4 linked regions of the Caenorhabditis elegans genome follow. The protein of the gene in region 3 interacts with the protein of the main gene of each other region in a pairwise test. Each region holds a gene or a part of one and is shown on either strand. Other genes may lie near its edges.

Region 1 (7,790 bases), on a different chromosome or scaffold from region 3:
TCACACAAGAATTTCAGCTTCTGAGCTTTCTTGTGCATAAACACTCCATCCAAATGGCCAGTGTCAACGGATCGAATCTCAATCGCCTTGTTGCCCCATCCCATAATCTGACCCGTTGAAATGTACGCCACACTGCTTGGCATTTCTCCCCATTGCAGGACTACATTCTTTGTCATCCTTCCGTACGTGTTAACATATACTCCCTCATCTGAAATAAGAATAGATAAAGAAGTGAATACTATTTTTGAAAACTCACTGTCATAACAGAGAAGGAGTTGCATTCCATTGGAGTTTGGAAGAACAACTATGCAATGTGGAGTCGTAGTTTGACCGCTCTAAACAATTAAAAATAAAAGGCTAACATTTAAATGATTCATCTTTGTTTTCAATTCTTATTCTGAAGTTATCATACCTGTGCTGGCGTATAAATATCATAGACCGCTGCAGAATCCAAATCAATTGCATGGAATCCACCTGTCGATCCATAAAGAACCTTGAGTCTTGCATTGTCTTCAACTGTCAAGTCGACAATCAAAGGAACATGACTCAAAGATCCGAATGACTTGAAACTCATGAACTTATGGTATGGCTTCGGTGCCCACGCATAAATCTCAATTGACGACTCTAGACCAACTACCAAGAACTTTATCCTTTCATAGCGAACAATTTTGAAATGAATGGCTCCTTGCAAATCTCCAACATTAACCCATCCATTTCTTTTTTCAGTCGTATTGGCGCTTCCAGCACCCTATAAGACATAAAATTAGATATATCCAAAATGTTTATAAACCATACCTCTGTTCTTAAAATTTTCTGACGGAGCCAGCTCAAATAATACACTCTGATTCTCCTTTTTCTTCCGGAAATTGTTGCGAGAATATTTTGTCCCTCGAGAACCGTCATCTGATCAAACCTTCTCCGACTGATGAGCGGGTAAACTTTTCCTTGTCCACTTCGATCCAAAAGCATAAGTCCACTGTCTGTTCCAATAAGCAAGTTAACTCCCCAGAGAGCTGCACACAAAATCTCTCCACTGAACTTTTTCTTGTACTTCCTGATTTCTGGAGCATCGTTCTCAGCTGGTGTTCCATTAGAATTTGGTGTCACATTAACTTGAACTTGGTTAATGTCTTGCGGTCTCCCTGGTCGATTTACTGTGCCACCACCGGCTCCGGCGCCACCACCAAAATATCCAACAAATGACTTTTCGCGATCACGATTCGAAAATGAATGCTGAATTGATGAACGGCTGTCAGAGTTTTGGAATCCATTTGGTTGCTGAAATCAAATCATGTTTTATTATTTATTAAAATTTATCTTCTGACAAAATATAATCACTTCAACAAAAATTTGTATTTTGATTTTTGATCATCAAAAATATATCCAAAGACATTGAAACAATAAAAAAAGAACCGCAACAAAGAAGAACTACATATCTTTCGAAAATTAAAATAACTGAATAACCAGCATCAAAAACAATAAAACACAGGATGATTTGTTTTCTGAAAAGATGACCAACAGTTTAACCAAAGGGGGAATAAATCGGAAAATCACAACAAATTCTGTCATTTCAAATCGAGTAACTTACATAAAAACTTCCAAATAGAGAGGCGCTCTACATAATTATAAAATTACATGTTTTATCGTTCAAATTTATGGTTTCCACTACATATATTATTCTCAAATCAAAACACTCACCTCATCTGCACGATCGTCACTCATCTGGCGTGTTTGGTCATTTATTTGACGGCGGAGTTGTGGCGATTTGGGCAAGAGATCTGGCAGGGCGCCGCGCGAGCTTGAGGCGTTCTGGAACCAAATAAGATGTTTCACGAGTGGTATAGAGCCGTCAACACTATGTATAACATTGGCCGAGAGAAACCAAAAAAAAATAGAGAAGGGACAACGTACAATTGGTTTGAACATAAGGGGCTCGTTGCCTTCCTCGTTGTCCGAGTCGCTGTCGTCGTCGTCAAGAGAGATAATTCCAGGGCGAATCTAGAAAATATTCTGTTTTTTAAATACGTTTTAAATTGAGTTGTGAAAGCTTATCTCAAATTTTCCCGGCGTCGTGGCAGTTCCTTTTATTTTAAAAGCACCTTTATGTTATTGCCAGTTATAATTTTTTGAAAATAGCTGCTACAGAAACAGTAGTGTTTTTATTTTTTTAATTGGCTTTTTCATATTTATTTAATTTTTAAAGTGAGCATCTTATTGATATTATCGATTTTTGAAATGCACCAATTTAGATAATTGAAAAAAAATAAAGAAACGAGTATATATTTTCGCTCATCTCACACTACCAACCTCTGGAATTTTCTTTCCCTTGTAAGCCCCATGGCCACTATTTCCATTTCCATTGCGACGCACATCTGACACAAGTGTATTCTCGCCATCTGTCGGTGTTGGCGGAAGCGGCTTATTCGGGCCGCGCAGTGTGCCTTCTCCGTTCATCATAATGTCCTTCAAATCGTCCCACTCCGCATCTGCTCCATTATCCAATTCACCCACGTCAATCGTGTCTGTGATAGACGAGATCGATGCCTCACGCGGTGGTGGCGCCGGTGGCGGTGGGCTCATGCTCTCCTCGCGACTGCGTCCATTGTGATGACCGCCCATTTTAGAAAGCTCACTGGCGAGCACGTCAAGATCTTCTGGTTTTACATGAGTGATCAGAAGGGGTTCTGACATTTTTCGAGACTGTTGTGGAGCAGGTACACTTGCAGAAACACGTGCAATCGGCATAGCGTGGTGAGCCTGACGTTCTCTTTCCCGTCGCTCTTCTCGTTCCGATCGTCTTCTTTTTTCATAGTTTGCTAAATCCGCCAAGTGTGGGGCTGCAGGATGGGATTGTTGTGGAGATCGCTGAAAATTTATTTACGTTATTTAAAACTTTTAAAACTACACTACAAACACTTTTAAGCCAGGTAAACAAACATTTTTTCTGTATAGCCTCCATTATTTTTATTATTAAAAAAAACCTCAACTGGTTATTTGAATCGTTCATACCCTACATGCTTCAACTTTGTTAATGTTTGTTATTATTAGTATATTATTAGTACTGAATGACTGTTTAGACAATATTAAAAGGAAGGTAAGAAAACAAAACCTGATGATGACTCACGGGCCGTGGCCTTGATGCTGGCGAATGACGTGGACCATCGGCAGCTCCTCTAGATGAAACAGCCCTCAGTTTGACTTCGGATGATTCTCGTCTTGGCTCAACGTATCTGAAGGTTTCAAATTTACAATGAAACTATTAAGAGAACAACGTCAAATCTGAACTGTGAAAAGTATTGAGTGAAAGTGGTGACATACCGAGACTGCTGATATTGGAATGGAGCTGGTGCTGGTTGCTGGGGCAGTCTCCTCAGCTGCTGAGCACCTGGTTCTGCAAAACCACGACTACTCTCTTGCAATTTTTGAAAGCCTTTACGCAATGTGTTATCCATTGGAATCATTGAACTGCTCTCCGAGTCATCTCGAATGCCCATTGAAGGACCACGATTGTTCGGAGATGGTTCATCATCTTCACTGCCGGAATACTCGTAGTCTGCATCATCCTTCTTCACCCGCCGATTTCGGTCAATATGCTCTTTGATTGAATGCCGGATCGTTTGCTCATGTGGTTGTTCTTTGATAAATGGATGACGAAGTAGGGCTCCAGTGTAGGGCCTTTGATGGTAATCCTTCACAAGTACAGTCTCTGAAATTTAAAACTTGACCTGCATCATTTAGACTTGAAAATATTGTTTGGAATGTACTCTATTTGCCCGTGCGTGCTTCCTTAAAATTTCAGCAAAAACCCATTTGCAAAACTGTTTCAAAAATACGAATAGCGACACATTTTTACAATTTATTGTTTCATATAATCGGACTGAAAAATTATCTGCAAAAAAACTCACCAATAAAAGTCTCGAACTTCTTGGTCCACTTCTTATTTCTTTTCAACTTTGGCGGCGGATTTCTTGGAATTAAAAATAACGCTCTCATCGGATGCATATCGCACAACGGTGGATGACCTTCCGCCATTTCTAATGCCGTGATTCCTAAATTGGATAACAATAAGATTTTGAAACTCCATGAGTCATTTTCCATTTATACAAAACCCCTGTTTGGTTTTTTTTTGCTTTTTTAATGCTGTTGTACTACGAATTTTGTGCCCATTTACACATAAATGCAAATAATGAAAGAAAGCAGACACAAACACAACGAAAATGTCCGGAGGGAGATATGTTGAGGGAATTGAAGGAGACGGAGCAAATATTGGAATAGTGAGAAAAAACATCAAAATAGTATGTTCAAGAACAGACTATAGCTCTACTAGAACACTTTTGGAAATTAAATGACGTTGAATATGTATATTAAAAGTTTCAAATTAGAAAAGAACTTAGTTTTCAGTGTTCATTTAGCTAAAGTTTTCCAAAAAATTAGTTTCTCGAAATAGTAAGCTGATAGCCATATTTTTTTGTTGTCAGCTTTCTAGAGAAGGAAATCAGCGTTAGTTTTCTGCAATTTACCTCAATTTGATTATTATTGTAAGTAGAATTAAATTAATAAAATTGAGAAATATATTTTGGGTGCGTTGCTAAATTCAGTGTTTAAATCAGTGAAATGCTGATACCAAGCCTTATAAAAACTTTTTATATTACACATCGTCATTACTTACCCAAAGACCATAAATCCGAACGTGAATCATAAGTAGCTTCAGGGCTTTCATCACATGCAATAACTTCGGGAGCCATCCAGTATGGTGTTCCAATAAATGTGTTTCTTCTTCCAACTGTCTTGTCAAGTTGTGCAGATACTCCGAAATCTACCAGCTTCACCTCAGCACTGTCCGTAAGAAGCACATTTTGACCTTTTATGTCACGATGGATAACTTTGCTTTGATGCAAGTGGTAAAGTCCCTATAAGAAATACATTTGAAAATGTCTGAGAATCGGTAAAGACAAACCCTCAAAATTTCTCTACAAATATATGCAATCCATTCTTCTTTCAAAGAGCCTCCCTTTGTGTTTTTTACAAGATCGGTGATAGAACCACTTCCACAAAACTCCATTACCAGCCATAATTGATCGTGTTTTCCGGTCGAAGAGGGCAGCTTTTTGATGAAAGCACCATAATAAGTGGCTACGTTCCGGTGGTGGGAGTGCTGCAAATCAATTTGATTCTTCCGTGTAAGACCTCATCGATGTGTTCTCCTTTTTTTGAAATTTCTTTTTCACACTATTTCAAAACTGTCTTCAAAATAGCTTTCGTTTTTAAGTTTTCATCAATTCATACAAATATAATTTATAAATGTATTTATCAGAAATTAGATATTTCTTTTTTTCTTTTTAACTGATTTAAAATTCTGGACAACTTAATAATTCGAAAATAGGTTTAATTCCATTTCTCATATTTGGGGAATTTTGAAAGGAATATTTTTGTTTAACCAAAACACATACCTTCTTTAGCATATTAATTTCTAACTTAATTTCATCTTCTTCATCTTCGTTGATATTCATAATTTTGATTGCAGCAAGTTGCGCTGTTTTAACGTGTCGACCCTTATACACTTGCCCGTAAGTTCCATTTCCAACAACCTCAATTAGCTCGAAGATTCCAGCCGGGTCCTGAAAAAAATCATTGTGATTTCCGTGTTGTTTGGTGTAGTTTCGCATTTTCTTTCCCCTACTCAGCTGTAAATATTTCTGAGAAGAGAGCAACATGATTTTTTAAAATTGTTACACCACACACACACACTCGAAGAAAGAAAGTGGGACTTCGTCTGTGTGTGTGTGAATGTTGCGAAATACACTTTTTCTTAGTTTTGAGACAAAAATTTAAAGCTGACAAAAATTGATTGTTTCATTCAACTTCAAAAGGTAGTTTTCTATAGAAACACCATTAATTTCACGGGCGATAACCCAGACTGAATAGAAAAATTAACATTTTTCAGTAAATTCATTGTGCGCATTCTACTTGATGTATGGGTGGTCACGAATACTCACCCTTAGAGAATTCAAATCAATCTCGTCGAGTCCTGATGACGACATGGTTTTGGGTGCTGTGAGCGGCTTGGAGCAAGCCGACACTTAAACCACACAATGACTCCTTGAATTTAACTTGAATCTGAAAAAAAAAACACTTATTGTAAATTACAAGAAACAGGAAGTATAACAAAACAGAAAAAAATTTTCAGATTATATCAAAAGTAACAAAAACAGAAATATATTGTTTTCATCTAAAGACTCAAAATAAAATATTGTTTCCAAGATTATTACGAAGCAACCATTCTGTTTCAGAAAAAAAAACACATGTTGTGATAAAGAAAATTAGATCGATAAGGAATGCATCATCAAAGACGTCGGAGAAAGACCAGTGGACGGCACAAGGAGGACGGACGCGTCCAGCATTGTTACACAGCCGGGAAATAGAGGAAAAAAATGAGAATGCACAAATTGTTTAAATGTGTTCAAAAAGTAGAAAAGTCTTAAGTGTTTTTTCTGCAAAAACAATATATTTTTCTTATAATGTTGGAAAGAATTATCAATTTTTAAGTTTCAGACAACCGTTGAATAGGATAACTCATATTCTGTTGCTGCAAAAAAAATTTCCTAAAAATGCTCGCAATTTTAAATTTTTCTGATAGCAATCAAGACGTGCAAATTTGAATTGACAAGCGGTCAAAAGACATCATCGGGTCAAGCAGACAAGGTTGTGAAAGAGAGTGAGGGATGATCGAAGGCCGCAAGAAATTCGCCTTGATTCCGAAAAGAAGGCCTCCGACGTCCGCCTTTCTCTCTCTCTCCATTTCATTCCCCCGCTCGTTTTCCCGAATAATGATGAAGGACGGACGAAGAATGAAGAAGACGCTGGTGGAGAAGAATGGAAACAGCGCCTGTCCATTCCCAAAGAAGACACACAAAAAGGCAACAGCAGCATCACATATAGCTGCCGACTGAGTGAGAATAGCGGGATGCCTCTGTTTGGTGATCTACATTTATTATATTGATTTGAGATGAAATGATGCTTATCTTCTAAATAGATATTAATGATGGTGAATAAATGAAGGGGGATCGAGTAAGGGGTAGATGTATCAATTTAACGAATATTCTCTCCAATGGCCGATTAACAATGATTTAGCGATGGTATTTGTCTCTACGACCACTAGATCCTAGTGACGCTCATGGCTAAAAAAAACAAGGTTATGGCACATTGAGGTATATTTCCTATTTAGACGTTGCAAAAAGAAGGAGAGGTTTTAAATTACAAACAAAAACTATTCTTGTGGAAACGTTTTATTTAGCCTACATAGTATCCATTTCGGGAACAATTTTTTCAGAAGAAAAAAAGGATTGTATCAAAAAACCATAAAATATTAATATATTGCCTGATTTTTTTAATTTACAACATGAATCTATTGCCAAAATTATTATTTATTGAAAATTTTGAATTGCTCACAACATGTTCTGATGTAGAATTCATATTTTGAAATATATGTTAATTTCAAAACACGTGTTTTCATTTAAAAGTTTTCCATGTCCTGCACCGAATGCTTTGCTTTGACAGCTTATAAGCTATATCTTTTTCTGAATATCTTTGTAGCTTATTAATTTAGAAATGGTAATTTACTATGCCTAAAAATGAAAAAAAAAACTCCACACGTTTTTATTTAATAATCAATTTCAAAAAATTAAGGGGAAATAATACACAAGTACCATTAATTTTTATAGCTTATGATACTGAATTAAAATATGAAGTAGCAAAATAATTACATGGTGTGTAAAAATGATCAAGAAAAT
Region 2 (7,966 bases), on a different chromosome or scaffold from region 3:
AGGAAGAACGTAAGGACAACACAGCGTTCCTCTTCATCTTCTCGTCTTTCTTATTCTGTTACTAGTCATTAGTTGCCATTCGCATTCTGGTGGTAGAAAGAGCACATCGGAGATATATCTACTTTGTCTCTTCATTTTCTTTTTTTTCCGTAAATATTACACCTAGATTCAAAAAATCTAGGCAGATAGTACACTAGGATAAAATACATGCACTTGATTTAAATTTTTATGAAGTCAATCCTGTTGTAAATCCTACTCCGTTCGAACTTTCACTTTCATTCTTTTTTCCTTCCGTTGCCGGTCTAACTTGTCTCTTTGTATATATTATTTTTTTTCAGAAAACTACAACTAAACAATGAACTCCATCGTCAATGGACTCTACACCTTCATGTCCACAACCGTCGTCCCAGCAGTCACAGAACAGGCAGCGAACCTTGTTGGAGGAGCTTCTGCACTTGCCGAAGGAGCAACACAGGCTCTAACACAAATCAGTCAGACTGCTCTCGAGTGGGGATCTGGCTCAGAGGATGCCACGGCTTCTTCTGAAGTCTTCTCATGGGAGCAACAAGGGGCGGCGGCGGCGTCGTCTGATCTTCAAGAGGATAAAAAGGAGACGACAGAGGATGTTCACCAGGAGGCGATAGGAGCATCGTCACCAAATACATCGATCGAATGGGAAGTGATCCATGAGAATCCAGACGAGACGGGTCCAATCAGGCACAATCAATTTGAGATGGTGCAAAACAACTACGAGTGGATGAAGAATTCCAAATGATCTGGGATGAACGAAGAAATCCTATACATGTTCGGGTCTATTTTAATATTACTGTCCAATTTATGTCATGTTTTCGGTAATATTTACCGGTTTTCACAATGTTTCACAATAAACTTTCGTACGTGATCAATTCTACAATGTCCTTGGCAATAAAAACTACTTCAGACAAGAAATTTCAAAGACAACAGGGATTTGAGGTGTTAGAAATCATGGGCAATACTTAATGTAAAAAATCTATTAATAACAGAATATCGAGCTTCTTATCGGTTAATTTCGCAACCTATTACAACTCGAACAACATTCGCCAGTTTGCGTGTTCATTTTTGCATATTTTCTTGTTAGAACAGTGTTTGTTTGTTTTTATAGTCTACTTTTTTTTTAACGAAAAAGGGAAAAGCTTGTGACATCAAAATGAACTCGTCACATGTGCCGTTCGGTTCCTGTCTCCCGTGCCAGTGCATATATATGCACAGATGATAGATGTTCGCTTATATTTTGTGACATTATACACCTTTCTAAATATTTTAAAATCGAAAAGAGCTGTCTCAAATGTAAAAAGTGGTCCCTATTCCGAAATTATATCAAAATCAGTTTTGAAAAAATTTATTGTGAACAAAAGTTGCAAGAATTTTTGAATTTTTCTTTCGGCTGAAAATTCGAAATATTGTGCAATTTGATTTTAAAAAAAACCAAATAGTTGCATATGATTTTAGGGGAGCATATGCAAGGTTGCACTGAGTCTCATAGGGGTACTGTATTTTTTTATCTCTAATTCTCTAAACACTACTACTACTCGATTCTCTAATATATACAGTTTCTTCTTTCATTATTTTCGATTTACATTTTTAAATAATATGAAGATTTTAAAAATTGTATTCTTTAAAAACTTATCGAAACTTATTTCTAAACCAAATTTAAAAAGACCAACTCTCAAAAACCTATTATATTGATCCATATTCTGGGACTCTATATTGTCTCTTCTCTTCCTCTACTATGTTGGAATAATAATCAAATGGTCTCGTTAGCCGCCAGAAAGTTATTGATTACAAAGGTGTATACTGTTACATCAGATCGAGCGTTTTTGTGCACAGTCACGCCTATTTGGCAGCCTGCCATACGTTGGGTGTTCAGTCGTCCGTCGTTTTTTTTACCTAGGCTCTATGTTCTTAATTTCTTCTATGTAGTTTGATTTCCATATTACCTCGATTTCGTAACTATCCCTTTTTTGGCACAATAGATTATGAAATTGCGTGTTTGTTTCCTCAGCCCTTCTATTCATATTTTCCTTATCTAAAATGACTAAAACTTATTTCATTTTCAGAACCACAAGTTCTCAAAATGTCTTACTTCTCCTATGCAACCTCCATCTGGAATTCCGTATCAGAAATGGTCACATCTGCAGCTGAAACCGTCGGAACACTTGTCAACGCGGTTACTGAAGACACTACTCCAGTCGAACTCGTAGAGGTTCCACAACAAGAAGAACCAGCTGTACCAGAGAAGCTAGAGACTTTAGAGCCTGCAGAGGTGGAAGCATCTTCCAAGGAACAACTGGACGAGAAGGAAGACTACGATATGCTCGATGATCATGCTTTGTATGTCATAATGTACGAGTACGCTCGAGGAATCACCACGGAAGAAAACGTTTTCGTTGATTTGGAGGAATCGTTGCCATGTCATTGACTTCGCAAGATCTTCGTCTAGTTCGGATGATCAAAACTAATTATTTTTAAATTATTCATGTTTTCCCTACTTATAACCACTTCATCTGTTGTTTTATCAACTTTTTTTTTGTTTGAAACAATTCAGGTCCAACCCATCACACACTCCCAGTCCAATGCCTTTCTTTCCTTGTTTTCACTCGTTTTTTTCCACTGTTCACGGTTCTCTTCTCCTTCTCTTTGTTTCAACATAATTTTCATGTTCAATAAAACTGTAAAATATAATAAAGCTTACCTCAACAACAACCGCAGGTTTGCACAACTCATCTCGCATCTTCTCCATATTCCATTCAAGACCCAACGGTTGTTTTAGCACAGCCTCATAGTCTTCAACTCGGGAGTAGGGGAATGGTAGAGAACGTGGCTGGATCTTTCCGATACCCTGAAAGCTCATTTTTGCAATTAAAAAATCTAGGAGATATATCAGGTGCTTACATCCTTAGCCGTCATATTTTCAGCAATAATTACTCCGTTTCTCTCTCCGTCCCTTCTTCTCTTCTCTTTTGCTTTAATCACAAAGTTTTGGCGTCGCTTCTTCTCAGTCATTCCTGGTCCAACCCATGAGCCCCATCCGGCCAAATTGAGATCTACATCTTTAACTTTTTCCTTTTCTTTCACTCCTTCTTTCATATCTTCAAAATCTCCAATGACGTCATCATCCTTGAAAGCTTCATTGATAACTTGAGCGGCTTCTGCAGGAAAAAATCGTTGGAATATAGTTAATAAAAAGAAAAAAAAAGATTAAGCTTACCTTCATCAAACTGATCCATTTTCTCAACAAAATCCGACGAAACTTGTGTCAAGTCGTTTGTGTTGAGCTCTAGAAATTTGCTCGGATCGATTTCAATTTCCTTTTGTCGTTTTTCAGCGGCATGCACTCCAGCTGAATCCACTGCCTTTTCCACTTTTTCATCAAAAGTTTCTGCACGTTTAGCCTCCATCTTCGGATCATAATTCTTATCAACATATGATACTTTTCCAATTGTTCCTTTTCTCGCTGACTCCTTCGCTTTTAGTAGCTTCTTTTTCTTCTGCTTTGCCTTTTTCGCATCTTCTTTCTCTTGCCAAGTGTCATCGACGTCGAATAGAGGATTTTCACGTGATGCACCAGTATTCGCTGAAATACTTCGAGTTATAGCAGCTTCTTGTCGTTTCTTGGCTCGCATCTGAGCAAGTGTCACTTTTTGAGCATCGGAGTCTTCGAGGAAAGTATCAACTAGAGCCGTGCCAACTTGTTTTCTGGATTCTTTCTCCGCTTCTTGGGCGGCATCCTGAAATTTTTTAAAATTAATTTTAAATATAAAATTTTAAAAAATAGAATGTTACTACGTGAAGAATAAATCATCATTTTTCAAAATCCTCTACTTGATAACTCTTTTATTTTTATTTCTTCGATCTCAAACTACAGTTGTGGATATATCGATAACTATATCACAAATGATGAGCATGGAGTTATTTGGTTTACAGGTATTGTTTGAAAACTAAAAAATCCAAAAAATATAAAAATTTCAGCCAATTTTTATGATACTTCTGCAACTTGCTCTGTGTTGGACAGTTCCGGCAGCTATTCTGGTGAACTGCGGGAAGAAGTCGAAAGGAAAGAAAAAATACTCAGATGAAACAGGAACAACTGGAGGAACTACTGGAGGTGATGATGATGACGATGATGAGGATGATGAAAAGCGTCGTAAAAAGAAGAAAAACGATGCGATTGCGGCAAAAAAGAAAAAAGCAGCAGCCAAGGAAAAGGGAAAGATTCCTGCCGGAGCTCCAAAGCCTCCGAAAAATCGTGCTGCAATTGCTGACACCCATGATCCCAACTACCAGACATTGGCCGGATTGAACGATAACGTTTTTGAGCAAAAACAAGGCGGTGGTGGTGGTGGAGCTGCTCCAAAAGCTCCGGACGGAAAACCAGGAATGGCCGGAACTCATGATCCTAACTATCAAACTCTTGCCGGCTTGAATGATAATGTTTTCGATAAGAAAGGTGGTGGTGGAGCAGGACCACAGGCTCCAGCAGCAGGAGGTAAACCTGGAATGGCTGCAACACACGATCCAAACTATCAGACTCTTGCTGGTTTGAATAACAACGTGTTCGATCAAAAAGGTGGTGTTGGTGGAGGTGGAGGAGGAGGAAATGGTGCACCAGCTCCACCAAAAGCTCCTGCTCAACATGGTGCTAAGGCTGCAACTCATGACCCGAACTACCAAACCCTGGCTGGTCTCAATCAAGATGTTTTCGGTGCAGATAAGAAGAAAGCTTATTGAGAACTTGAATCCGTCTAATGAATTAGTAGTTTATGTCTCACTTACCTTGATTAACTCATGAATACTCTTCTTTTTATTTTGTGGATCTTCCGTTGAAGTTGGAGCTTCACCATCAGAATCTTCAGCGGTAGTTGCGACTTTTGCTTTTAATTCTCTTCCCATTCTGAAAAAATATTCCCATTTTAAAATTTTTGTTCCAAAATTAATATCTAACCTCAAATGCTCATCGAGCAATTTTTTGACCTCTGGATTTCGGCTAGCATGTTTTTCCAGCATCTGTTTGAATTTCTGATTCTGTCCGCGATGCTTCAAACTTCCTCTTTCCATGATTCGCTGTAAATCCATTTCGGCAAGTTTTTCATGAGCAGCGGATGGATCACGAGCAACCAAATCATCAAACTCTTTTAAAAGTTGTTTTCGTTTTTCTCTTTTTAGAATTCGATGATATCCTTTCGATTTGATTTTCTTCATATATCGATTCTTGGCCTCTTGGATTCCAACAATAGCACGCATTCGTTGCATTTGTGAAAGACGATCTTTTGCCATTTTAATATCTGTAGCCTTCATCAATTCCATCTCCTTTTCGGTCAGTACGGGCTCGGTTTTCTCGTCCTGAACGAAAATAATTATTAGGAGCAATTTTTCCACTTTTATTAAATTTTAGAACAGTTTAATTTGGAAGCAACAACTTACACCCCACATAATTCCATCCGGTTTTGTGAGAGGGAAGATCAATTGATCACTGACGCGGTTGCTTTGAACGAGCTCTGTCCAATTTTGTGTCACTTCTTTTCTGTAAAAATATCTTATTAATTAAATCACAAATCAATAATCTCACTTCAAATCAGTGAACGCAATTTTTCCTTCAATCTCCTTTCGAGCTTCAACATCTTTTAGAGGAATTAATGTTTTGCTTTTCAGCTTCTTTTTCGTAGTTGTTTCATCTGCTGTTGCTTCCGATTTTCGCTTCTTTCCTGTTTTTTCTGTCGACTCTAGGCCACCAATTCCGAGACTTTGCTTGGCTTTGTTGGTTGAAGGTCTGTAAAATTGCAAAAATCCTAAATTTAAAAAAAAATTTGTTTTTCAAATACCTTGAAACTGTAAGATGAGATAGAAGAGAAGTTGCGTCGGTTTTTGTTTTTGATGCTTTCTTCAGACGATTTTTCTTTACAGTTCCAGGTGTGTGAATTGATTGCAGAAGCTTCTGATGAGCAACGTCATCAAGATCCGAGTCATCACTCATTTCTGTTTCTCAAATTTCTATAATTTTATTCTGTTTTCTTTCAAAACATTATTAAGAAGTAAATGGTAACCGACAGAACGAGGTCAATATAATTGAAATTTTTCACAGATCTATTTATTTATTTGTTGAGAGTACAATAAAGAAACTTAAAATTCTGGAACAAACAATTACACTGCTGATGTTATGACCCACTAGAAAATGAAGACAATACATAAAACCGATTACTAAACAACTCTTTAAAACACCATCTTCAATGATTGGGTATGATGAGGCAGGGAACTGGTTTGAAGCACAGATTGAAAATCGGGATGAGGAACTAAATTTTTTGGGAAAAATTTAGATGGCGGTGGCAAGGGCATCCTTGTATTTCTTGACACGGGAAGCGATCGACAGATCGACGTACTTGTCTCCGATAGTGACAACAAGTCCTCCAAGAATCGATGGCTTGACGGCATAAGTCACCGTGAGCTTTTGTCCAGACTTTCCGATCTTGCTAAGGGCATCAGACAATGCCTTCTGGTTTGATGAGCTCAATTCTTCGGCGGAGGTGACCTGAAAATGATTTTTAGTTTTTAAAACGGTACGTACGAGCATCTTCAGGATTAAAATTTAGACTTGAAAATTTCCATTTCTACGTATTGAAAACATTCGCTATTCATATTTTATAATTTTACGAAAACAAATTTCAAAAGAAACATTGTTTTTCTTGGCAGTTATAATAAAAGTACCTGAACGAAAAGTTCTCCACGGTGAGCGCGCATGATGGATTCGAATGAAGAAACAACTGACTCGAGCTTGTTCAGACGTCCGTTCTCAGCCAAAAGTCCTGAAAGTTACAATTAAATTTGTAATTACACGTTAACAAAATACCAAGGAAGTTTCCAGTCTCTTTGGTAAGCCCCAATTTAGTTGAGATAGCCTCGATGGCGGTCTTCTTCTTGTTGGCCTTGAGAGTTGGGTCGAGGACGAACTCTTGGAACTTCTTGTTGTCCTTGTACACGGAGCGAACATTGTTCAGATCTGTGGAAATCTGGTCGAGCTTGTTCTGTTTGTGTCCGGCTGAGTAAAGAGCGGCGGCGTAACGTCCCTCGACTCCATGAACCTGAATCGGGGTCTTCACCAGCTGAGCCTTAGCGAGAGCAGCGCTCGTGGAGAATCCGCGTTTCATGAGTTGCGCCATTACCTGCAAAATTAAGAAATTAGGCAAAATTTAAATTTAATAAATGTATGCAAGCAAACGAATTAATTAAAACAACTTTTTAAATTTAATTAAGAAAAAAATAATAAAGAGTGGATTTTTACATACTTTTTCGTGAAGAATAGTCAAATATAGGTAAAGAGGCTTGCTTGGGATAAAAATTCGCATAAAATAGTACAAAAACTTAACTGAAATTCGATAAAAAAGAACTGAAAGCTAATTTCAAGAGAAAAAGGGCGGTCGTTGGCTGAGTATCACTCTCTTAACCATAAGCCAAGGTACGCAGCCAAATCACCGGCTGTCAGTTCAGTAGAGCGCATTTGGTGCTGCAATTTTTAGACAATTTTTTTTGTGGAGTTTTCTTGTTTGCAAACTTTCCATCTCGATAAAATGCATGTTCATGACAGGTTGCGTATAAAAGGTCGCAAAATGTTGAAGCTGCAGTTGAAATTGTTATCTTGTATAACTTCTAGTCATATTAAACGCAATTTTTATTGATTTTCATGTTACGTCATATATTTTCAGATCATGGGTACACAATTGGCCATCCTAGGATGGTTGGCTGTGGCTTTGGTGGTTGCTGCTGCAGAAAATAAGGTTTAATTTTAATAGTTGCTTCAAAAATCTAACATTTAGCATTTCAGAGTGCTTACGCACAAGCTGCAGACAACTTTCTCGATGAGCTCGCTGGAAAAGAAGTAGAAGCGGTTCCTGTGCCCGATGAAAAAGATCAAAATGAACATCATGAACATTCGTCT
Region 3 (4,616 bases):
CAATTTATCATCAGACCTCTTGTATTGTCAACACAAAACAATGTTTCTCTAATTTCTCTATATGTCTGCCTGTCTGTCTGTATATCTGCGTGCCGTTTCTCTCTATGTCTATCTTTAGTTGATTGTGATACTTTAGGCGAAAACAGTGAGGTGGCAGTCGAGCGGATACTTTGTCCTTTCTCTCCCATCGATTATTGACACGCTGCGTCCCACATTAATTTTTTTTTGCATTATTGGAACACGATTCGATGTGGCAAGTGAGTTTAGGCATAATTTATTCTCATAAACGGAGAAGCACGTATGAGCTTCCAGATATGAAACTGCTGCACACCTTCTTCAAACACTTTTTAAAAAGTTTTTAAAGCTTAAATTTCAGATGTAAAACTTCAAAACCATCATGTCATCCACTACATCTTCTAATCTGTCATGTCCGGCTTGCACTCAGAAAAAAGTGAAAAGCCGTTTCAGTTGGCGAGCAATTTTATACGCAATTTTTTGCTTTCCGTGTGGAATCTACTGCTGCATGAAACGGAAAACATACTATTGCACACAATGTCAATGTGATGTGAGTTTTTTCTTTCAAAATAAAATTAGAAGGCTTAGTTCTTATGAAAATGAGAGCTTTAGTTATAATTTCTAAAGAAATGTATTGGTGTTCTGCAATAGCTAATGTCTTATCTCGTTTTTAATAAATCAAATGTTGCAGGTGGTTAAACGTACTGAAACCCGTGCTATTTTACCAAGAACTCCCGGATTGGGCTACAACTTCCGTTTGTACGAATCTACAAAAACGGCTCTTCCAGCTAGTTTTGCTGCATATCGTAATCCGGCAATGACAGCATCATCCACAGATTCTACAGTTTCCACCACACTATCAACTGCACCAATTGTGGATTAATTTTTTGAATTTTTGATTTCGCCAGGGTTTCAAAAGGGGTTTGTTACGTTTAAGTAATTTTCATAAGTAAATATTTCCGATTATTCTGATACTTGATCAGAAGTTTTAAATGATACTTATCCCATTTTTCTTTACAAAAAAGTCTCCTATCGTCTCACCATTTGATTTCTTGTCACTTTGCTCTTTTTCGCGTTCCAAAGCCAATAGTTTCGTCTCGAAAGCTTTTGATTTTATCAGTGCTCGATGATCGACCTGTAAATTATTTGAAATATTTTTCAGTTTCTTTTTCTGTTTGATTTTGGTCAATTAAACTACGGGTTTCAGTGTGATTAATTACATAACTTTGAAACGTATATTTCCAGAATTTTTCCGTTAATAAATATAATACTTTTTCTTTTTTATAGATATTTCAATTGACTTTTCTCTAGACTAGAAATTTCGAGATGTTAAAGATTTTCTTATGGAAAAAATGAGCTTCAACAGGAAATAAAAATCTTACCTGTGAAGCACCCAAATTCTCTCTCAAAAGTCCAATATGTTGCTCATAGATGACAATATCAGCTTCAAGAACTTCAATAAATCTATCCTGTGCTTGAATGGCATCCTTCAATCGGTCAATGTCCTCAAAAATAGCTTTTTTCTGACATTGATTGTAGTTGATAGCGGATTCAGCTTGAAGGAGATCTTCAACCATCAATTCCATCAGCTTTTTAGATTCGTCAACTTCTGAGCTCAAGGATCGTTTGGCTACTTCACTAGCATCTAACTCTGTTGTCAACTTGTGAACTTTTTCTTTCAAATGAGCAACTTGATCACGAAGAAGAGCATTTTGTTCTATTTCCCAATTTCGAGAAGATCGGAGAGTGTCAACTTCTTCTTGAAGACGATCCCTCTGAAAATTGGAAACGTTTCTATACAAAATGATATATTCATCTATTTCACTTACCTCATCTTCATATTTTCCATTGATATCTTCAAGTGTAGTTTCCAACTCCTTGATTCTTGCAGTCGCCGCAACCTTTGCCTTGAGTCCAGCAGTTTTTGCCTCTTTTGTGTATTTGAGAATTTCAGATTCATAGTCTGCTTTCATTTTTTCAACAGATGAGTTTAGTTCGATAACTTGCTGACGGAGTAAAGCATTTTCAGATGAAGCTTCTGTTAAAGCAGACTCGAGAGCGTCTGAAGTTGAAGAAGACATTGAAATGGTGGGATAGCGGGAAACAGATGTAGATGGAAAATTGGAAGATGTTGATGTTCCAATTGAAGAACCATTTGGATTTAAATCAAAAGTTACACGTTTTCTTTGATGTTTCCTATGGATTCCGTCAATATCTGGAAGAGCGCTCAGTTTGCTAGATGGATCAAATGGAGGATCCAATGGTGGAGGAGAGAAGGTTCCCGATGAACTTGAGACCATCGTTTCTGAAAAATAGATCAATTCAATTCCGTTAAACTTTAAAAAAAAGTTTTATATCGTCACAATTTTCAATTTCTAGCCGTGTGCTCAATTTTCGAGCTTATTTTCAAGAAAAAGAGGAGCATACAAATTACTTGGGCAAGCTACCTTTAGATTACTGTAGGTTACAGTTGTCCTAACACGTCTAAGATCAGCAATTTTCCTGTTTGGGAATAATAAAAAAATTCTAAAAATAAAACTGAACGTCATATATATTCAGAAATGGTGCATGACAACTTCATTTTTTTTTAACCAAAAAACTTTACTCACTTCTCTGTGCAATGACATGACCTGGAGATGAACTTCTTGCTCTCCGTTCACTCTTTGAATTTGATAATGGTACTGAGGAATGAGCCATCAAAGAAGGCTCAGTTTCTGTCGACATATCCTTCTTGTCTCTATTCATTTCTTCAAATTTTTGTTGAACAATTCTCATTGCTTGATTTTTGACTGAAGCAACTTCATTGTGCTCACGAACTCTTTCCTAAATACAACTCCAATATGAAACCACAGAAACAGAATAATTCTCACCTGTAAGTCCAAAATTTGCCTTTCTTTATCCAATATCACATTATTTAAATCTATAATTCGGTTATCCTTATACACCAGTTGTTGATGAACCCGTTCATCGATCCGTTTGTCGGCCGATTTTTCTTTTTCTTTGGAGGTTTTGTCCTCCATTTCTGAAAAGTATTATATTTGTATTTAACGTATTTAAAAAGTGACAGTATACTTCAAGGACGTGAAGAAACAATGAGAAGAAAAGAAATTTGAAAATTATAGTTTAAAAAAAGGGATGACGTAAAATTATTCAAAAACTTTTTAAATAATTTGTAAATCCAGAATAAATTTTCTGCGAGAGATTGGAGAGAGAAACAGAGAAACCCCGTTCCACGTAACGGAGAGGCGCTGAACCCACGTGGAAAGCTCACATTTTAATCTCACGCAATAATATGCGTCTCACGTTTTTTTTTCAAAAAGTTTTCCGAACACATCCTTTTTTTTCTAAAATTTTTTAATCTTCCGACACTACTTGAGAAGTCTTATAATGGATGAAAAATCGTTTTTTAAAGTTAATAAACTGATTAGGTATAAGGAGCATGCCAAAAATATATTCACTTTCAGTTTTTTGATAATGTTGCAAATTATTCAAAAGTATAACTCGTAACCTAGTTATCAGAAGTATAACTAACAAAATATTTATTTTTGTATTTAAAGGTTGCTGAAGTAAAATAATTTTCATTTACTGTTTCATTTTTTAACTATAATAATAATATACTCTAGAAATTCCGCTTTTTTTGGTACTAGTGAATATAATTAACTTATTTGAACAAGTATACAAAAGTAAAAATAATTTGCTTCTGAATTAGCTTCTGAATTAGTTTCGGAAATAGTTTCGGAATTCATTTTAATCATTCTCAACAATATCAAAAACCAAAAAAGGTTGCTTCTTTGGCTAGCACTGTGAATTAATACAGCAATTTAAATATAGGTTATATAACTAAATTTGAAACATAAGGAAGAATATATGAAACGACTTAAAACAGTTACAAATCTACGTGCAATTTAATTCCTGAAGAATCAAAAATGAAGTTTTAACACGAAATTCTACAAAAAACTGGTTCGAATTAGTTCCTTTCGAGAGACACGTCGACCAACACGGCACCCGCGTTATTGATTTTCTGCTGACGCACATTCGTTTGCGGTGGCGCATTTCACTTTCGCGGTGACCATTGACATAGTGTATGGGCCAAATAATGGGAGAGCTCGGTGAAATATTAGTGACATTAAATACGGATATTAATTACAAAAAAGAAATCGATGGTAAAAATAACCAAATGACTATTTTGGCATGAAAAAACATGACTTTTCAATTTTTATTTTCTGTTTTGGAACTCTTCATGTAGGCCATTTTAAATCATTAGTTTTCTGTGCGGTGTGTATTCAGAAAAGTTAAAGTAAGCATTGAAAACTGTGAACAAAACGTTATAAGAACACGTCTCATTGTCTGTCAGTACATGAGAGCACGATGTAAAAAAGCAAAGCACACAACTGATATTTTTGTTAAAATAATTTCTGTCTTACTAAAGTTTTTGGGTCAAGATAGATCAAACAGCATCGAGAAGAAAATTTACTAAGTTTGGTAACCCATGAAACACAGTTCTCTTTCTATTTTCAAAAGGCATTTGTGTCTATTAAGCTCATCAGTTCTTCTGAAAAATCAGCATTACTGATAGCATAAATTCTAGGCTTTTCAGGTCA
Region 4 (3,094 bases), on a different chromosome or scaffold from region 3:
CAATAGGTTTTTCTAGGCGAGAAATCTGAATTTTTAGATCTCAAAGTTTTTAAAGCTTATTTTTGAACTGAATTTTGACAAAAGGTGTTTAATTTTTCGGTTTTTTGGATGGAAAAATGTTAAGGTAATATGTTGTTGTTGCTTTTCATTAACTTCTCCGAATTCTCACGGAAGCAATTTTCATTTACATTTCATTTCCAAGTATCAAAGTTTGAGAATTTTTATTTATTCCAGTAACTTTAGGTATCTAAAACTTTGAAAACTCAATGATAAGTCTTTCAAATTTCAAAAACTGTTGAAAAAATGTAGTTCCGCGATTTTTAAAAATTATGCTCAAATGGCTCAGTGGGATTTTCGACGACTACCAATCTGAAGGCCGGGGTTCGAGTCCGCACTGTGGCACAATTTTTTTCTGTGTTTTTTTTTAAATTTGTCTTTGGTATATCTACTCTCCTAAACTCGAATTTCATAGTCGCAAGCTCTGAAAATGTTCGGTTTTTGTTGAAACTGAAAAAATTGAAATATGCAAAATAAATATTTATAGTCAAAAAAAAAGTAAATTTTCAATCTTTTCTCTGGAAAATCGTTCTAATATTGTGTGTCTTCCTTTTCTTATTGTCCGCTCTCAAATCGTCCAGCAGTTTTTTGATAGTCTCTTTCTGTTTTGAGAGCTCATTGAGCACATGTGTGAATTCTGACTCCATTTCATCGTTGGGTGGTGCTGGAATTTTTTTTGATTCAAATGTTCTGATGAAGAATAGGAAAAAAAATAAAAATTGTAAATTTTTCAAACATTTTTTTTTTCGAAATTTCAAAAAAAAATTTTTTTTTTGATCAAAATTTTCAAAATTTTAATTTTTAGAAAAAAGTTTAAAATCATCCATTTTCAGTCTATTTTAACCCATTTCTTTTCAAAAATTGCTCAAAAACTCACATTTCAGGCTGCCAGCTTCTTCCTTTTTCATGCTCTTCACTTTTTCAGCTTTCTCCACAATTTCAGGCTTCTCCTGCTCCTCTGTGACGTCATCAGATTTAATTTTTTTAGTTGCTGGCTCCATATCTTCCTCTGCATCTTTTTCGTTTTCATGTGCACGTTTTATGGAGATTTCAGACATTTTTGGGCTGAAAATACAGGAAGTTTTGTGAAAATCCAGCAAAATTCTGGCGAAAACTCGTCAAATTTTCAGTAAATCAATACAAAAGTGAGGAATGAGCACTCTGCGGACAGCAGATGGCTTGGGATTCAGCCTCCGAGGGAGAGAGTTAGAGAGCATGCGGAGACGCAGACGGTGCGAGACGGGGAGAAGTGCAACACAGCCGTTGGTGTCAGCTGGTGGCTTGGTTCGGAAGGAGAACTAATTTATTTACGGGAAATTAAATTTATGGTTGTGAAGACCCAAAGATTGGTGGAATTTAAATGAAAAGTTCGAAAAAAAAATCAGCAAACCCGATTTCGTGTCGATTTTCAGAGTTTTAAACTAAAAAATTCAAAAATCTCGTCTAGAAAAACCTGTAAACCAGTTCGGGGCTCGAACCTGTGACCTATTTCACCGAAGTCAAGCCACCTACCCACTGCGCCACATGGGAACCGCGTGGCAAAAGTGGCGCACCGCGCGCCTGCCAGCATGGCTCAGTGGGTAAGCGGCTCGTCTCTGGAAAAATAGGTCGCAGGTTCGAACCCCGGTTGGGGTATACAGGTTTTTCTAGGTGAGAAATTCGAATTTTTGAATTTGAAATTGCCAAACTCAACGCAAAACCTCGTTTTTTGGAAAATTAAAAGTTAAAAAAAAACCAAATTTTCCGCATTTTTTGCTGCACATCACTTTTCTCAAAAAAAAATTTGTTTTTTGCTTTCTTTTAGTTAAAAATTTGTCATTTTCCCATGTAACTCGAAAATATAGCCAGAGAAAAGAAAATAATGTGTGAAACCCCCCGGAAGCTGAAATTGTCACGTTTTTCTGGAAACTTCTTGTCAGGCTTCCGATATTTTTCTAGGATTATTATGCAGCATAGGCTAAAAGAGCGAAAATCTCAGAATTTTTTTTTTTTTCCAAAAAAAAAATTGGATTTCTTTGTGTTCTTTGTGTGGTTTTTAAGTGGAAAATTAGATTTTCAGGAAGGGAAATTGCATAAAAATTGGAGTTAGCATATTTTTGTGGGTTTTTAAGCAAAAATCCTGAAATTAAAAAAAAATTGAATTTTCAAATTTTCCAAAAAAAATTTTTTTCGAAATTTTCAAAATTTCCAGAATTTTTTTTTTTCGCAATCTTTAGAAAAAATGTATTTTTTTTGTTTGAATAAAAGCTATATTTACGTCATTTTTAAGCCACCAAAGCAGCAAAAAATGTGTATAATTGCGTGTTAGCTTATTATTTGTTACTTTTTAGGAATAATTCATGTTTCCTAATTTTTCCCACCGAGCACATTCAATTTCCTGCATTTTCCAGATTTTTAGCACAGCTGTTTATGAAAATTGAGAAAAATTTTGCGAAAAAATTAAAAATTCCCACTAATCCCTTTGTTTTTCACTTTCAAGCACTCTTCCGGATATTTTTCAGTTTTTTCCTAGTTTTCAAGCATTGGTGTACATTTGACTATTTTTCTAAAATATGAAAACTAAAATTGACTTCAAAAATTCTTTTTTTTAGAAAAAAAGAAGAAATAATGGCTAAAAACTCCAATTTTCAGCTCACAAGCCATGAAAATTCCAAATTCTTACCTAGAAAAAACTAAACAGCCTACCTGAGAATCGAACCAGTGACCTATTTTTCCATAGCCAAGCCTCTTACTCACTTAGCCATGCGTGCGCGCGCGCAATTCCGGAGAAGTAGCCAGGAAGGAAGGGGTTGACGCAGTGGATAACAGGCTTGCCTTTGGGGAAATAGGTCACAGGTTCAAACCCCTGCTAGGGTATATATTTTTTTCTAAGTGAGAAAGTAAAAAACGCTGAGTAAAAAAATTCATTGAAAAAAATTATTTGCAAATATGAAGGTTTTGCAGAGATCATAACATTTAGTTCGATTTGCATATTGTAAAAAAATTGTTGAAACTGTCAAAAGTATACAGTTTTAACTCAAAATTCCACCTTCCACGT

What was found.
Region 1: the proteins of T28C6.7 (region 3) and mig-15 interact in a two-hybrid assay, tested with the Caenorhabditis elegans proteins (one large-scale study listed by BioGRID).
Region 2: the proteins of T28C6.7 (region 3) and utp-14 interact in a two-hybrid assay, tested with the Caenorhabditis elegans proteins (one large-scale study listed by BioGRID).
Region 4: the proteins of T28C6.7 (region 3) and C54E10.6 interact in a two-hybrid assay, tested with the Caenorhabditis elegans proteins (one large-scale study listed by BioGRID).

Annotation. Positions count from the first base shown.
Region 1 is NC_003284.9:10,422,534-10,430,323, forward strand, and holds the start of mig-15 (Serine/threonine-protein kinase mig-15), read right to left. Parts: upstream 6,042-7,790; coding exon 5,997-6,041; intron 5,619-5,996; coding exon 5,451-5,618; intron 5,156-5,450; coding exon 4,958-5,155; intron 4,911-4,957; coding exon 4,670-4,910; intron 4,050-4,669; coding exon 3,906-4,049; intron 3,707-3,905; coding exon 3,319-3,706; intron 3,231-3,318; coding exon 3,110-3,230; intron 2,866-3,109; coding exon 2,308-2,865; intron 1,999-2,307; coding exon 1,912-1,998; intron 1,810-1,911; coding exon 1,699-1,809; intron 1,616-1,698; coding exon 1,589-1,615; intron 1,279-1,588; coding exon 796-1,278; intron 749-795; coding exon 413-748; intron 336-412; coding exon 257-335; intron 209-256; coding exon 1-208. UniProt on the Caenorhabditis elegans protein: Involved in cell migration and signal transduction. Important in several developmental processes including epidermal development, Q neuroblast migrations and muscle arm targeting.
Region 2 is NC_003279.8:5,422,431-5,430,396, forward strand, and holds the start of utp-14 (Small-subunit processome), read right to left. Parts: upstream 6,028-7,966; 5' UTR 6,011-6,027; coding exon 5,859-6,010; intron 5,807-5,858; coding exon 5,606-5,806; intron 5,561-5,605; coding exon 5,461-5,560; intron 5,380-5,460; coding exon 4,982-5,379; intron 4,931-4,981; coding exon 4,813-4,930; intron 4,800-4,812; exon of another isoform or gene 4,768-4,799; coding exon of another isoform or gene 4,009-4,767; intron 3,964-4,008; coding exon of another isoform or gene 3,934-3,963; exon of another isoform or gene 3,843-3,933; intron 3,768-3,842; coding exon 3,248-3,767; intron 3,189-3,247; coding exon 2,932-3,188; intron 2,879-2,931; coding exon 2,732-2,878; intron 776-2,731; coding exon of another isoform or gene 356-775; intron 1-355. Other genes in the region: F27C1.4 (uncharacterized protein), read left to right, coding at 356-775; F27C1.3 (Dauer Up-Regulated), read left to right, coding at 3,934-3,963, 4,009-4,767; atp-3 (Oligomycin sensitivity conferral protein), read right to left, coding at 6,347-6,562, 6,739-6,836, 6,881-7,193, 7,317-7,376; F27C1.2 (Copper transport protein), read left to right, coding at 7,737-7,805, 7,853-7,966.
Region 3 is NC_003282.8:8,826,223-8,830,838, reverse strand, and holds the start of T28C6.7 (Kinesin motor domain-containing protein), read right to left. Parts: upstream 3,036-4,616; coding exon 2,886-3,035; intron 2,839-2,885; coding exon 2,625-2,838; intron 2,321-2,624; coding exon 1,845-2,320; intron 1,791-1,844; coding exon 1,398-1,790; intron 1,291-1,397; exon of another isoform or gene 1,151-1,290; coding exon 1,057-1,150; exon of another isoform or gene 899-1,056; coding exon of another isoform or gene 707-898; intron 566-706; coding exon of another isoform or gene 398-565; exon of another isoform or gene 377-397; intron 258-376; exon of another isoform or gene 112-257; intron 1-111. Other genes in the region: T28C6.8 (Membrane protein BRI3), read left to right, coding at 398-565, 707-898.
Region 4 is NC_003283.11:18,807,547-18,810,640, forward strand, and holds C54E10.6 (Protein MNN4-like), read right to left. Parts: upstream 1,184-3,094; 5' UTR 1,116-1,183; coding exon 935-1,115; intron 722-934; coding exon 564-721; 3' UTR 523-563; downstream 1-522.